Linked DNA regions of Elephas maximus indicus. The protein of the gene in region 1 purifies or fractionates together with the protein of each later gene. This does not show direct contact. Links are inferred from orthologs where the notes say so. Each region holds a gene or a part of one and is shown in the gene's direction. Other genes may lie near its edges.

Region 1 (7,698 bases):
TAAAAGCTGAAAATACCTGTGATCATGCTTATAACAGTACTAGTACACCAAAAGTAGTAAATAAATGAAAAAACCCAAAACCCAGTGCCGTCGAGTTGGTTCCGACTCATAGCGACCCTATAGGACAGACTAAAACTGCCCCACTGAGTTTCTGAGGAGCACCTGGCGGATTTGAACTGCCGACCCTCTGGTTAGCAGCCGTAGCACTTAACCACTACGCCAACAGGTTTTAAATAAATGAAAGCTATCATTAATTACAACCAGGAAACATATCCTTCTGCAAAACAATAATGTCTGCTAAACTGATTGCCACCCGAGAAATCATTGCTGAAGACTCTATGATTCCTCGATATGACGGAGAATAGCTTCATGTCATTTTTTTTTTTTTTTTGGTGGATGTTTTCCTGAAGAACCACAATCTGTTCAACTACCTTTTGGTTTATTGCCAATTGCCACAGAAATGCTCTGTCATATACAGATATAGCCTATATTCCAAAGTACTAAAAGGTAATGTATAAAACATGGCCAAAATACATATCCCTCCTTCAAATAAAATAAAATGCCAATGTAGACACATTGTTAGTTTTTGTAGGATCATTTCAGGTTCTATTTTATTCAAAGCATCAGATATTGTTATCGTTATGCTGAGTACATGCAACAGAAGAAGCTACAGTGCTCCCATCCCTTGGGAAGATGCTGAAATGCTGGGATGATGAGACTGACATGTATGGAACAGTCACTAAGAGGAGGAATATAATTAAGTGCTACATTGCGTGGTAAACCTTATAAAAGAGCTCTAGGAAGCTCAGTGAACTGCAGAGCGGTCCAGGAAAGCTGCATCTAGGAGAGGGAGGAGGAGTTTAGCGGTTACTACAGGAAAAAAAAAAAAAAAAAATTTATTTTTTATTTTTATTTTTTTACAGGAATGATCTTGGTTAAGTTAGTTAACCTTTCAGAGTTATTATTTCCTTTTTTATAAAATTTAAAATTTTCATGCACATAAAACGCCTAGCACATTCTAAAGCAAGACAGGTTTATGCTCGGTCTTGGAGAATGGACAGGATCTGCCTAAAAAGATAACGTTTCAAAGAACAGATTAACCTGTGTCATGAAAAAGACACACATCTCCTTCTTAAGACTTTAGGTATAAAATGTTAAGAAAAAAAAATCCACAGGTAATATCCCTTTTACAATAATTATCTGTGGCAAATAGTAACCACATTTTTTTTTTCCTGCAGGGTAAAATAATTCCCCCTAAGCACATAAATCTTGGATCAGGTTAAAATCCAAGAAAGTACCTTCTTCACCCATGCAAAAAATAATTTAGGAAAAGAAAGGGAACAGAGTATGCAAACCTGCTTTTCCCTCTAAATATCTGCCTCTCAGTGGCCCATCTCCTCTGCAGTTGTTTAATTAAAAGTTATTAGAATCTGGGCTCTCCATTATCTATAATGAAGAGTTAAAATCATAATCATTTCTCTATTGTGATTTTCAGATAATTAAAATTCAAAGAAATGTGTCTCCTCATTTTCTGTATTTATTCATTCAAATACAGAAATATTCTGTATCACAGCTTTTTCAAATGTACTGACAGGAAGAGTAGGATGCAATTCTCCAAAGTGTCTTAACCTTATCTGGGGACATTACATTCAGCAGACTCCTGATTACATTAACATAACACCATCCGTAATTGGAATCTTTCCTAACATTATCAGTTAGAGGGCTAATTACGCTTTCAGAAATCCTAATGGTGACTTGGACAAATAAGGCAGTATCTTCTACGACTGGCGAAAGTCTGCTATTACTTTTTGCTTTAAAATAAAAGTATATTACAGCAGTAAAAGTTTCCACTTTAGGGCAAATTAAATTATTTCCATTCCAAGATAGAAGATGATTTCATACAATTAAAAAGAAGTGGGCTTTGTGGAAAGTTCCATTATTCATTCTTATCTCTACTAAAAGTAATTTCAGCCATGCATCGAAGGAGCTATCCATTTCTTGCAGAGGGAAAAGAAGTAAGGCCTGGAATCATTCCCTTCGCTTGCACAGAAAGGAGAGAAGAATCAGAAGAAGAGAAATGCTGTGCTGGTAGTTGGAAGCTGCTTTGCTATGTAAACACCTTTCAGAGTTTGTTTGTCATGCAGTGTGACCACACAAATGTAAATTATTTATAAAACAAATTGTTTTCCCAGGCTTTGATACATATGTAGAAATTCATTCTCCCGGCTAGGAGTTTGCTACTGCCGACAGTAGGTTGGTCCTCTGGTTTGCCAGTGGCAGCTGGAGAGCGGGGTGACAATTCATGTGCCCCTCACTTCTCTTTTGCAAACCCAAAGTTGTAGGCAAGAGAAACTGTGTTCTGTTTGTTTGCTAATTCATTTAACATTCTATAACGTATGGAACACTGTGCCAGGCATTTGGTACATAGTAGTGAACAAAACCATGTCCCTGTCTTCCTAGAGCTCACAGTATTTTCTCAAATATCTTTTTTTTTTTTTTGTAGGTTTTGGTTTTAATTTTGTCTTTCTGTGTATTGCCTAAGTACATTTATGGCCCCAATGTCCAAAAAGAGACTCCCACCCAGTGCCTCAAGCTATTATAAATCCCAGCTGTCAGGAAGGATCTCAGGGAAAGCAACCAGCAAGGTTGCAGAACCTGCTGCTAGAAAAAAAAATTGAGGCAAGCAGATTCAATCAAACTTCAATCCAAGCTGTACTAGTTTTCTATTTCTGCTGTAACAAATTGCCACCAACCCAGTGGCTTAAAACAATACAAGTTTATTATCTTACGGTTCTGGAGGTTAGAAGTCCTAGAATCCGTACGTTGACAGGTCTGCACTCCTCTGGAGGCTCTAGGGGAGAATCAGTTTCCTTGCCTTTTCCCGTGTCTAGAGAAAAAAAAAAATTTTTTATTTATTTTTGTTTATTTTTTAGAGGCTGCCTGCATACCTTGACTGCTGGTCCTTCCTCCATCTTCAAAGCCTACAGCATAGCATTTCAAATCTTTTTCTCTCTCTCCTGACCTCTACTTCCACCACCACATCTCCTTCTGACTCTGACACTCTTCTGATAAGACCCTTTGTGATTACATTGGGCCCACTCAGATAATCCAAGATAATCTTCCCATCTCAAACTCCTTTACTTAACGATATCTGCCAAGTCCCTTTTGTTCTAGGAATTAGAACGAAGGCATCTTTGGGGGCCATTATTTGTCAGCCTAACACACAGGCAAAGAAAATAGGGGGAAAATTGCCATTTCTACATCTTAAATCAACTAGCTGTATGTTTAAGTTCTGCAAGTTTGTTTTCTACTTCAAGGCCATTGTGGTAACACATTGTAACCTGTTTTTCTTTTTTTCCTCATAAAAACGGTGGTGGATGCCCCACCCCCCATCGGTATTTCTCTGATAGCTTACAACTTTGACGAGCTTTGTTGGCACAGTTGTTACAAGCTGGGCTGCTAACTGAAAGGTCGGTTGTTCGAACCCACCAGCTTCCAGGAAAGAAAGATGTGAGTCTGGTTCCGTAAAGATATACAACCTTGGAAATCCTAGGGGACAGTTCTACTCTGTCCTATAGCATCGCTATGAGTCGCAATCAACTGGACAGCAGTGGGTTTGGTTTATAACTCTAAGATGCCAGTTTTTCTCACAAGCCAACAAACTAAAACATCCAAAAAGACACTGACATCCCTCTCAAATGAACTCAATGAGCTGATTGCCCTGAAAAGATACTTCATTACAGTCAACCTTTCTTACTTTATAGAACTAAATACATTAACCGTTTATGGGGCTGGAAATAGCTGATCATTTCCTCTTTCCTGCAGGAAGAGACCATGGAGTAACATTTAGCAAATTGTTCCTGGCTTCCTGCCTGCAGACCTTATGCAGCATAATCTCTTGAATGCAGATTATAAATTAAGGACTGACAATAAACAATATGTATCACTTTAGTAGTTTAAAAAAAAAAAAAGAAGAAGAAGAAGAAAAAAAAAAACCTCTGAGTAGCTTTTTGTCCCAGTAACATTACAGGCTCGAATTTATATTTCCTGCCACTCCTACTTGAGAAAAGAGAAACAATTTGCTACCCACTTAGTTAAAAGTGAAGCTTTTGTTTCTAGCCATTATGGAATAACAAAGGATATATTTATTTCCCTATCTAAAAAAAAAGGAAAACTGGAAAAATAATGTTTTCAGACGTAGTACAGCAGTACAGAGCTGTGCCAGTTACAGGCTGGAAGGAGTTTCCAGATACATCGCAGGGACGGTCTCACTGCCTTCAGACTCAGAGATCCTCATTTTTGTAGTCCTTATATATATATGGGAAGGAGTCCCGGTGGTGCAGTGGTTAAAGCGCTGCGTCCCTTCGCTGTGTGAGGCAAAAAAGTGTTAGTCTGCTTACGTGAACATTACAGCCTTGGAAACCCTATGGGGCAGTTCTACTATGTCCTACAGGGTCATTATGAATCAGAATCTACTTCAAAGCAGGAGGTTTGGTTTTGATTTTGGATATTTATGTATATCGTGCAGATCAACGTTTATTAAACCAAATTACCAATCCAACTGATTAACGCTAGTACACTTCAACAATAAGCAGCGGCGGACCCAACCCCGGGGCTCAGCGAGTCTCGCGCTGTGGCGAGAGCCTTCAGCTCTGACGTCATCGCCAAGGTAAAGCTCGCGAGACTAAGAGTGGGTGGTGCGAACGGCCGGTTTGTCTGGAGTGCGGCTTCTTTGAGGAAAACCGTCGCCCGCTAGCCGAGGGTCGCCAGCTATCAACATGAGCGGCCTGGATGGAGGCGAGAGGACCCCTGTCTCCGAAGTCTGCAGCATCACTACTCCCGACCGTGCCCCAGGAAACCCGGACCAACACCACTGCGAGAGCCTCCGAGGAGAAACCGAGGCGACGGCGATGATGGCGGAGACGGGTAAGAGCAGCTTGGAGACCGTTGAGCCCCCACCACCCCAGCTTCCAGAGGAGAGGGACGCACCCCGGGACCCCGCGGCCTGTGGCGACACTTCCCGGATTCGAGTCAGTGGAGATCGCAGTCATCTGGAGACCACAGCGGGGAACGAAGAGGCTCCGCCTCCCACAGAGAGCCTGGAAGCAGCCTCTGCCTCCGTGGCAACTGATAACAGCCTGAAAAATGACTGTCTGGGTGGAGAGCCTTGCGGCTCTGGTGGGAAGAAGGCCCTAGAAACCTGTGACGAAGGGAGCTCCGAGTCTGAGGCGATAGTTGGGGCGAAGGCCAAGGACATAAAGACTGAAACGTGCGCCATCTTGGTAGTAGCAGTGGAGGAGGAGAGGGCTGAGGTGGTGGAAGAGAAAATGGAGAAGGAAGGAGTAATGGATGAGGAGGTAGTGGAGGAGGAGATGGAGATGGAAGAGAAGCCAGTAGGTGAAGAAATGGAAGTGGTGGAGGAAAATAGAGTGATAGAGGAAGCGAGACCCCGGCCCCTGAATATGGATCTCCGCATGAACCCTCTAGAGGCCATTCAGCAGGAACTGGACACTGTGAATGCTCAGGCTGACAGAGCCTTCCTCCAGCTGGAGCAGAAGTTTGGGCGGATGCGTCGACACTACCTGGAGCGCAGGAACTACATCATTCAGAATATCCCCGGCTTCTGGGGCACCGCCTTTCGGAACCACCCCCAGCTGTCCGCCATGATTAGGGGCCAAGATGCAGAGATGCTAAGGTACATAACCAATTTGGAGGTGAAGGAGCTCAGACACCCTAGGACGGGCTGCAAGTTCAAGTTCTTCTTCCGAAGAAACCCGTATTTCAGGAACAAGTTGATTGTCAAGGAATATGAGGTCAGATCCTCAGGCCGAGTGGTGTCTCTTTCCACTCCCATCATCTGGCGCAGAGGCCATGAACCCCAGTCCTTCATTCGCAGGAACCAAGATACAGTCTGCAGCTTCTTCACCTGGTTTTCAGACCATAGCCTTCCAGAATCTGACAGGATTGCTGAGATTATCAAAGAGGACCTGTGGCCAGATCCACTTAAGTACTACTTGTTGCGTGAAGGGGCCCGTAGACCCAGACGTCGCCTGATAAGGGAGCCAGTGGAGATCCCCAGGCCATTTGGATTCCAGTCCGGTTAACCTTTGTCCTTGGAAATACTCTAGCACAGGGTCCCCAGACCTGTGCTTGGGCAACGGCAAGGGTATGCTTTCTACTTTTTCTGTGCTGATTTTTCTGCGCCTTCCCTCTGGACATTCAGCTCTCTCAGCCTCCAGATTGAGACTTTCATGCTCCTCCACTTTAACGCGATCTTTGTGCTGTTCACCCGCTCTTGTATTAACACCACATACTGCGTGGCCATGGTTCACACCACTCCAAGGCAAGCACTAGATGCCGTAGATTACACTTTATCTGCACTGCTTGGACTTTCTTTATTTCAGGGGTCTCGGCTCTGGCTACCACCACCTGCATTTCTAGCTTTGGCTCCTACACACCTTGCTCTGCATCTGGCAGTCAAGGCACATGGCCTCTGGACAATTGGCTGGGTGTTAATGATGTCAAGGGAGAGCAGCAGTGGGCTACTTGGTTTGTGTGACTCCATTGGTCTTCCTACTTGTCACTTTCTGTTGCTGCCTCCTCCTGACTATGCCCCCTCTCCTTGGCTGCAGCCTTCTGAACAATCGCCTTCTAGACTGTTGTCAGCCTCACTGTCTGATTTCTAGTAAACAAGGATCTTCAAAACTGATGGTGGACCCAGGTTTCCAGCCAGCACACAAAAGATGCCTCAATTCCTCACACCCCCACCCCCCAATCTTCCAGAAACCCTATTGACTCTTACACAAATGGTTAGAGTCATCCTCATGGCAAAGGTGAGGATGATGTCCTTTCCAAGTACCAGGCTTTCTCAACCTCAACCAGTGAATTCACAAAACCTAGGTACCTTTATTTGCTTCCCTTCCTCATCCTGAACATGATAAGTTTCAGGGTAGCAGTAAATTTTTTCTCTCTCTTTAAAAGAAAAAAAAGTGATAGCTGAGAAAAATCTGTAAAAGCAGGCTTTTTAGTTTAATTTGGCTGTCATTTCCAGAAACAGGTTGTCCTATAAAATAGACTGCCAGAATTCTTATTGCCCCTGTACTGTCTTTCCAACTCCATGTCTCCCTTTTTAGAGAGAGATCTAAATACAATGAAAGATGATTTCTAGTTTAGAGTGGAAGAATTTAAGAGATTGTGGTGGATGCTCTAAGCAGCAAAAACCAAACAAAAGGCCAGAGGCAGAAATGAGCTACAGAATTGGGGCTAGAATTAAGATTGAACTGACAGAGCCTTTGAGAAAGGGGTGATGGGAGGAGAAATACTTTTCTCGGGTTTGGGATGGATAGAATTGAAGTGTTAAATAATACATTTTTTTTTTTTTTTTTAGAGTAGGGTTCTTTAAGGAAACGATGCAACTTCAGGTGTTTTCTTTCTTTCATGTGACCTTATTTATGTTGAAGATTAATACTGTTCCTTTTATTTCAGTATTATATAAAATGCTGTTACCTTTTATTTCTACCTACTGGAATAATTGAGCTGTACAGGCTTTCTTTTGCTTTCAGTTGGGAACATTTGGAAGCATATCAACCTTATTTTCATGTACAATATTAGAAACTTATTTGAATATTTGTAGCAGTTGTCATCTTATTTCTGTTAAAGCTGTATCCTTAGAAATATAGTTCGAATAACTTGGTCTTG
Region 2 (7,769 bases), on another chromosome or scaffold:
ATTAGTGAGACAGGACTCAATCTACCAGATTGAATTGTGTCTTGAGGCGATCTCTTGAGATATAAAAGAAAGAAGCGATCAGAGGGATGGGACCTCATACCACCAAGAAAGCAGTGCTGGGAGAGAGCGCATCCTTTGGATCCAGGGTGCCTGCGCAGAGAAGCTGTTAGTCTAGGGGAAGACTGATGAGAAGGCCAACAGAAAGAGAGAGAAAGCCTTCCCCTGGAGATGACATCCTGAATTTGGACTTTTAACCTACTTTACAGTGAAGAAACAAGTCTCTTTATTAAAGCCATTCACTTGTGGTATTTCTGTTACAGCAGCACTGGATGAGCAAGATACCTTACCAGAGATAAAAGGAAATGGAAGCAGGCAGAGAGCTGGGGACTCATACCACCAAGAAAGCAATGCCGGGGGCACAGCATGTCCTTTGGACTTGAGGTCCTGCACAGAGAAGCTCCCAGAACAGGGGAAGATTGTTGACAAGGATCTTCCTCCAGAGCCAACAGAAAGAAAGCCTTCCCCTGGAGCTGATGCCCTGAATTTAGACTTGTAACCTACTAGACTGTGAGAGAATAAATTTCTCTTTGTTAAAGCCAACCACTTGTGGTATTCCTTTTATAGTAGCACTAGATATTCAAGACAACAGGTTTCAGTGGGGCTTCCAAACTTAGACAGACTAGGAGAAAGAACTTTGTGATCTACTTCTGAAAAAATTGGCCAGTGAAAATCTTATGAATAGCAGCAGAACATTGTCTGGGATAGTGCCAGGAGAGGAGGCTATCAGATTGGAAGGCACTCAAAATACGACTGAGGAAGAGCTGCCTCCTCAAAGTAGAGCTGACCTTAGTGATATGGATGGAGTCAAGCTTTTGGGACCTTCATTTGATGGCGTGGCATGACTCAAAATGGGAAGAAACAGCTGGAAACATTCTTTAATAAACGGAACATGGAATATGCAAAATATGAATCTAGGAAAACTGGAAGTCATCAAAAATGAAATGGACTGTATAAAGATCGATATCCTAGGCATTAGTGAGCTGAAATGGACTAATACTGGCAATTTAGAATCAGACAATCATATGGTCTACTATGCCAGGAATGACAACTTGAAGAGGAATGGCATTGAATTTATCGTCAAAAAGAACATTTCAAGGTCTATCCTGAAGTACAGCGCTGTCAGTGATAGGATAATATCCATACGCCTACAAGGAAAACCAGTTAATACAACTATTATTCAAATTTACGCACCAACCACTAAGGCCAAAGATGAAGAAATAGAAGATTTTTACCAGCTGCTACGGGGAAACCCTGGTGGCATAGTGGTTAAGTGCTATGGCTGCTAACCAAAGGGTCGGCAGTTTGAATCTGCCAGGCGCTCCCTGGAAACTCTATGGGGCAGTTCTACTCTGTCCTATTGGTCGCTATGAGTCAGAATCGACTCGACGGCACTGGGTTTGGGTTTTTTTTTTTATCAAATTCTACAGTCTGAAATTGATCAAACACGCAGTTAAAATGCATCGATAATTACTGGTGATTGGAATGTGAACGCCGGAAACAAAGAAGAAGGATCAGTAATTGGAAAATATGGCCTTGGTGATAGAAACAATGCCGGAGATCACACAATAGAATTTTGCAAGGCCGATGACTTCTTTATTGCAAATACCTTCTTTTACCAACATAAACGGCGACTATACACATGGAATTCGCCAGATGGAACACACAGAAATCAAATTGACTACATCTGTGGAAAGAGACGATGGAAAAGTTCAATATCATCAGTCAGGACAAGGCCAGGGGCCGACTGTGGAACAGACCATCAATTGCTCATATGCAAGTTCAGGCTGAAACTGAAGAAAATCAGACCAAGTCCACGAGAGCCAAAATATGACCTTGAGTATATCCCACCTGAATTTAGAGACCACCTGAAGAATAGATTTGATGCATTGAACACCAGCAGCCGAAGACAAGACGAGTTGTGGAATGACATCAAGGACATCATCCATGAAGAAAGCAAGAGGTCATTGAAAAGACAGGAAAGAAAGAAAAGACCAAGATGGATGTCAGAAGAGACTCTGAAACTGGCTGTTGAGCATTGAGCAGCTAAAGCGAAAGGAAGAATTGATGAAGTAAAAGAACTGAACAGAAGATTTCAAAGGGTGGCTCGAGAAGACAAAGTAAAGTATTATAATGACATGTGCAAAGAGCTGGAAAACCGAAAGGGAAGAACATGCTCGGCGTTTCTCGAGCTAAAGAACTGAAGGAAAAATTCACGCCTCAAATTGCAATAGTGAAGGATTCTATGGGGGAAAATATTAAACGACGCAGGAAGCATCAAAAAAAAGATGGAAGGAATACACTGAGTCATTATACCAAAAACAATTAGTTGATGTTCACCATTTCAAGAGGTGGCATATGATCAGGAACCGATGGTACTGAAGAAGAAGCCCAAGCTTCTCTGAAGGCATTGGTGAAAAACAAACCCACCAAAACAAAACCCACTGCCGTCCAGTCGATTGCGACTCATAGCGACCCTATAGGTTGGAGTAGAACTGCCCCACAGAGTTTCCAAGGAGCGCCTGGTGGATTAAAACTGCCAAACTCTTGGTTAGCAGCCATAGCACTTAACCACTATGCCACCAGGATTTCCGGTGAAAAACAAGGCTCCAGGAATTGATGGAATATCAATTGATATATTTCAACAAATGGATGCAGTGCTGGAGATGCTCACTCGTCTATGCCAAGAAATATTGAAGACAGCTTCCTGGCTAACTCACAGGAAGAGATCCATATTTACACCTATTCCCAAGAAAGGTGATCCAACCAAATGTGGAAATTATAGAACAATATCATTCATATCACACACAAGCAAAATTTTGCTGAAGATTATTCAAAAACAGCTGCAGCAGCGTATTGACAGGGAACTGCCAGAAATTCAGGCCGGCTTCAGAAGTGAATGTGGAACCAGGAATATCATTGCTGATGTCAGATAAATCCTGGCTGAAAGCAGAGAATACCGGAAGGATGTTTACTTGTGTTTTATTGACTATGCAAGGCATTTGACTGTGTGGAACATAACAAACTAGGGATAACACTGAGAAGAATGGGAATTCCAGAACACTTAATTGTGCTCATGAGAAACCTTTACACAGATCAAGAGGCAGTTGTTTGGACAGAACAAGGGGATACTGATTGGTTTAAAGTCAGGTGTGCGTCAGGGTTGTATCCTTTCACCATACGTATTCAATCTGTATGCTGAGCAAATAATCTGAGAAGTTGGACTATATGAAGAAGAACGGGGCATCAGGATTGGAGGAAGACTCTTTAACAACCTGCATTATGCAGATGACACAACCTTGTTTGCTGAAAGTGAAGAGGACTTGAAGCACTTACTAATGAAGATCAAAGACCACAGCCTTCAGTACGGATTGCACCTCAACATAAACAAAACAAAAATCCTCACAACTGGACCAACGAGCAACATCATGATAAATGGAGAAAAGATTGAAGTTGTCAAGAATTTCATTTTACTCGGATCCACAATCAACAGCCATGGAAGCAGCAGTCAGGAAATCATAAGATGGATCCCATTGGGTAAATCTGCTGCAAAGGACCTCTTTAAACTGTTGAAGAGCAAAGATGTGACCTTGAAGACTAAGGTGTGCCTGACCCAAGCCATGGTATTTTCAATCCCATCATACGTGTGTGAAAACTGGACAGCGAATAAGGAGGACCGAAGAAGAATTGATGCCTTTGAATTGTGGTGTTGACGAATAATATTGAATATACCATGGAGTGCCAAAAAAACGAACAAATCTGTCTCAGTAGTACAACCAGAATGCTCCTTAGAAGCAAGGATGGTGAGACTGCATCTTACATAGTTTGGACATGTTGTCAGGAGGGATCAGTCCCTGGAGAAGGACATCATGCTTGGTAGAGTACAGGGTCAGCAGAAACGAGGAAGACCCTCAACGAGGTGGATTGACACAGTGGCAGCAAGAATGGGCTCAAGTACAACAACGATAGTAAGGATGGCTCAGGACTGGGCAGTGTTTCGTTCTGTTGTGCACAGGGTCGGTACGAGTCGGAACCGACTCGACGGCACCTAACAACGACAAGAACATACACGTAGACCTCGCCAGATGGAATACAGAAGTATCAAATTGACTGTCGTTGTTGATGATTCTGTTACATTCCTTGCTTGAACTCGAGCTGACTTTGCTCTGGCAGCATGTTCGTCGGTTTCTCACTTTTGCTTCTTGGAACATATGCCAAATAAAATCTTTCTTCTTGCTTTAGTATAAAAAGATTTTACCCTAGTACAGTATTTAAACCCTGGGAAAAATTTCTTTGGGTGGAGCGCTTAGTTCATTTCATGGACTCTGAGTTGTCCCGGATTCGAATAGTTTTTATGCCTTCAATAAAACTCAATACTTTGATTTTTAACAGTGCTTCCAGTTTGCTCTTTGACACACCGAAACTAGCCCAGTGGTACAAGAGCACTTGCGTTCCCACGTGTTTCTGAACAGAGCCTTTTCGCAGGGAGCAGGCTCTGCAAGCTCCCTAAACCCAGGAAAGGCATTGTCCCATCAAAGCCTCCGTAGCTCAGCTCGCCGGCCTGGTTTGGCAGAAGCCCGCGACCCCGCGCAGCAGCGAATCAGGTGGCGGCGTTTACAGTGGGGGAGGGACTTCCTTTCGCAGTGCGCTCGCATACGTGAATGGAAACCCCGCCCCGGAACTGTAGGCGACGCTACCCCTAAGGGGCGGACGCGGTGTTTTCTGAGGAGGTCGGCGGCTGGGTCTGAAGCAGGGTCTGAAGCGTCCTCGGCGGGGTCGCCACACGGTGAATCCTAGGGCTGGAGCGGGACCGGGGTCGGCGCTAGAGTGGAGTTGGGTGCGGGCTCTGGGGTTCCCATCGCGGGCCTCTCCGGCTCGCTGGATTCCCCGGATTTTGAATGGACGGCCGCCGGCTCAGGCCGCGCAGCCAAGCTGCGTGTCTCTCCCGCGCGCAGGGCCCCTTCCCCGTGTCCAGGGCCTCTTCCTCGTGCATAAAGGTTCGGGGGTCTCGGCTTCTTTGCTTAGTGCGCTCGTTGGTGCCTAAGATGAAGGGAGAGCTCCAGGCGCGGAGCCGGGCGCGACCTGGCGGCGCGCGGAGGGACCCTGATGCCCCGTAGTTTGCGCTCCGCGTCCTCGCCCCTGTTTGAGTGACTCCCCCCCCTTATCGTTGAACCCCGACTGTTTGTGAACGTGACGTAGCTTGTGTGGTGGGCGAACCTTCCAGTGCGTGCTGAATTGCTTACCCCGTGTCAGACGCCATGCTAAGCGGTTTTTGACTTGCGTCACTTTTTTAGATTGTCCTAACGACCCATTGAGACAGATACCTCGTCACCCCTTTTACAGACGAGGAAACTGAGGCTCACAGGGATGTATTCATCCACCAGAGGCCCAGAGCTGACAAGTGGTGGGTCCGGTTTTGAACCTAGATTGACCTTTTCCACAGGATGTGCTGTCTTTCTTGGCCTTTCTGAAAAGGGAGAACTTGGATTGAGTTAGGCCCAGACAATTTGTGCCTAAATGGTCTTTAAATCACTTAAAATATACTGAAAAAGCTGGATGGGTTTTAAGCCTTTTGGCAAATGCCAGAAGGTTGGAACGGGCATCTTTTTGCTTCGGGTGAGGCTTGAGAAGGAAAAATGCTCCAGAGCACTTTTGAGACTCTTACCTTCAAAAAAAAAAACAAACCCAGGTTTTTATTCTGCCTTCACAAGGGATAATGTGTGGCAGGCTTTACTCGCCATGCTTCCCGTAATGTTTCATTTACTTGCATAAAACATTTTTTGACTTAGATATTATTAGTTCCTTCGCCTCTTAAAGATGAGAACATAGAGGTTCAAAGAGAAGTAAGTAGCAGTGTCCAAGATCCCACAAGCAGTTAAGTGTTGAGTCTGGAATCTAAATGAGGTTTAGCTCATGTGTCTTTGCTTCATCTCCCATGTCTCCACTGTTCCAGGCCAGGCTGTCTCTTCTGTGGGTGTACTTTCTTTTTAAAACATATTTTATTGTGTTTTAGGTGAAAGTTTACATGACAAATTAGGTTCTCATTTAACAATTTTTATTCACATAATCTGTGACATTGGTAACAATTTTCACAGCCTGTCAGCATTCTTATTGTATCCATTCTGTTTGTTCTTTTTCTGTTGATCTAGTTTCCCTACCCGTCCTTGCCTTCTCATCTTAGCTTTGGGGTAAGTGTTGAGCATTTGGGCTTGTATAGTTGATTGTTTAAGGGAACGCATTACTCACAGGTGATATTATTTATTTTATAAGCCAGTCTATTATGTGGCTGAAAGTTGACCTCTGGGAGTAGCTTCAGTTCCAAGTTCAGAGGGTATCGTCGGGTGGTAGTCTCGGGGGTTCCTCTAGTCTATAGGTGTAGTAGATCTGGCCTTTTTTAGGAATTTGAATTTTGTTGTACATTCTTTCCTTTCTATCTGGGACCGTCTGTTGTATCCCAGGTCAGAATGGTTGGTAGTGGTAGTTGGCCACTGTCTAGTTCTGGTCTCAGACTAGAAGAGGCCGTGGTTCCTGTGGGATATTAGTCCTGTGGGCTAGTTTCTTTGAGTCTTTGGTTCTTTCATTCTCTTTTGCTCCAGACAAGTGGAAACCAGCAGTTGTATCTTAGATGGCCACTGATAAGCGTTTAAGATCCTAGACACTACTTACCAACCTGGAACGTAGAACATTATGAGCTACGTTATGCCAGTTTTCTGAGTTGTCCTGTGAGACTATGGTCCTGAGCCCTCAAACCTGGTAAACCAATCCCGAGAGGTGTTTAGATATATCTAGGAAGTCTCTGTAACTGTTTTGTTTTGTGCTATATTTTATATATATGAATATATGCAGCACACACACAAACACGTATATACATACAGCTACGGATATACCTGTACAGGCATGTGCGAGTATCACACACGCCTTCCCATTCACATGCATGCATACATCTGCTGTAGGGTTGTATGAGTCAGAATTGACTCGACGGCAGTGGGTTTGGTTTCATTTTTTTTTTTTTTTTTTGGTGTATTTCTTCCCCTCTTTGATATTCTCTAGTAGAGAGTATCAGTGTTAGACCATCTTGTGTCCTCAGTTGGGTCATATATTGCCTCAGAACCCTATACGTCTCAGTTGCCAACCTCAAAGAATATTTCTCTCATTTTCAGCAACCATGAAGTTGAAGGAGACAAAATCAAAGCCAAAGCCACCAACCTATCGCAAATTTCAGATGAAGGGAATCAAAGTTGTGGGAAAATGGAAGCAGGTGAAGATTGACCCAAACATGTTTGCAGATGGACAGATGGATGACTTAGTGTGCTTTGAGGAACTGACAGATTACCAGTTGGTCTCCCCTGCCAAGAATCCCTCCAGCCTCTTCTCAAAGGAAGAGCCCAAGAAGAGAAAGGCACAAGCTGTTTTAGAGGAAGGAGAGGCCAGCTCCCCAAAGAAAAAGGTCATGTTGAAGAAGAGTAAAGATGTGGAAACTGAAGGTACTAGTGCCCAGAAAGAGTTTGAAGTCAAAGATGCTGAGCTAGGGCTTCAGGAAGTTGGCTCCATTTGTCGTGAGCCAGAGGTGGAAGAGATAACGTCAGGAAGCCAGGCCCACACTGTTCCAAAAAAGAAGAAGAAGAAAGGGAAAAAAAAACTGGAGCCTTCCCAGGGTACTACTCCGAAGGTGCCCAAAAAGGCGAAGACATGGATGCCTGAAATGCGTGATC

Evidence for each region. The genes of interacting proteins can lie anywhere in the genome.
Region 2: the proteins of TSPYL1 (region 1) and DDX24 purify together in Homo sapiens (affinity purification with mass spectrometry; 3 studies listed by BioGRID and IntAct, counting the BioPlex papers as one, with this or other methods). This does not show direct contact. The link is inferred for Elephas maximus indicus from reciprocal best matches to the Homo sapiens genes TSPYL1 and DDX24.

The regions. Positions count from the first base shown.
Region 1 is NC_064819.1:182,883,879-182,891,576, reverse strand, and holds the start of TSPYL1 (testis-specific Y-encoded-like protein 1), read left to right. Parts: upstream 1-4,694; 5' UTR 4,695-4,778; coding exon 4,779-6,104; 3' UTR 6,105-7,698.
Region 2 is NC_064828.1:107,656,103-107,663,871, reverse strand, and holds the start of DDX24 (ATP-dependent RNA helicase DDX24), read left to right. Parts: upstream 1-4,751; 5' UTR 4,752-4,843; intron 4,844-7,217; 5' UTR 7,218-7,222; coding exon 7,223-7,769. UniProt on the Homo sapiens protein: ATP-dependent RNA helicase that plays a role in various aspects of RNA metabolism including pre-mRNA splicing and is thereby involved in different biological processes such as cell cycle regulation or innate immunity.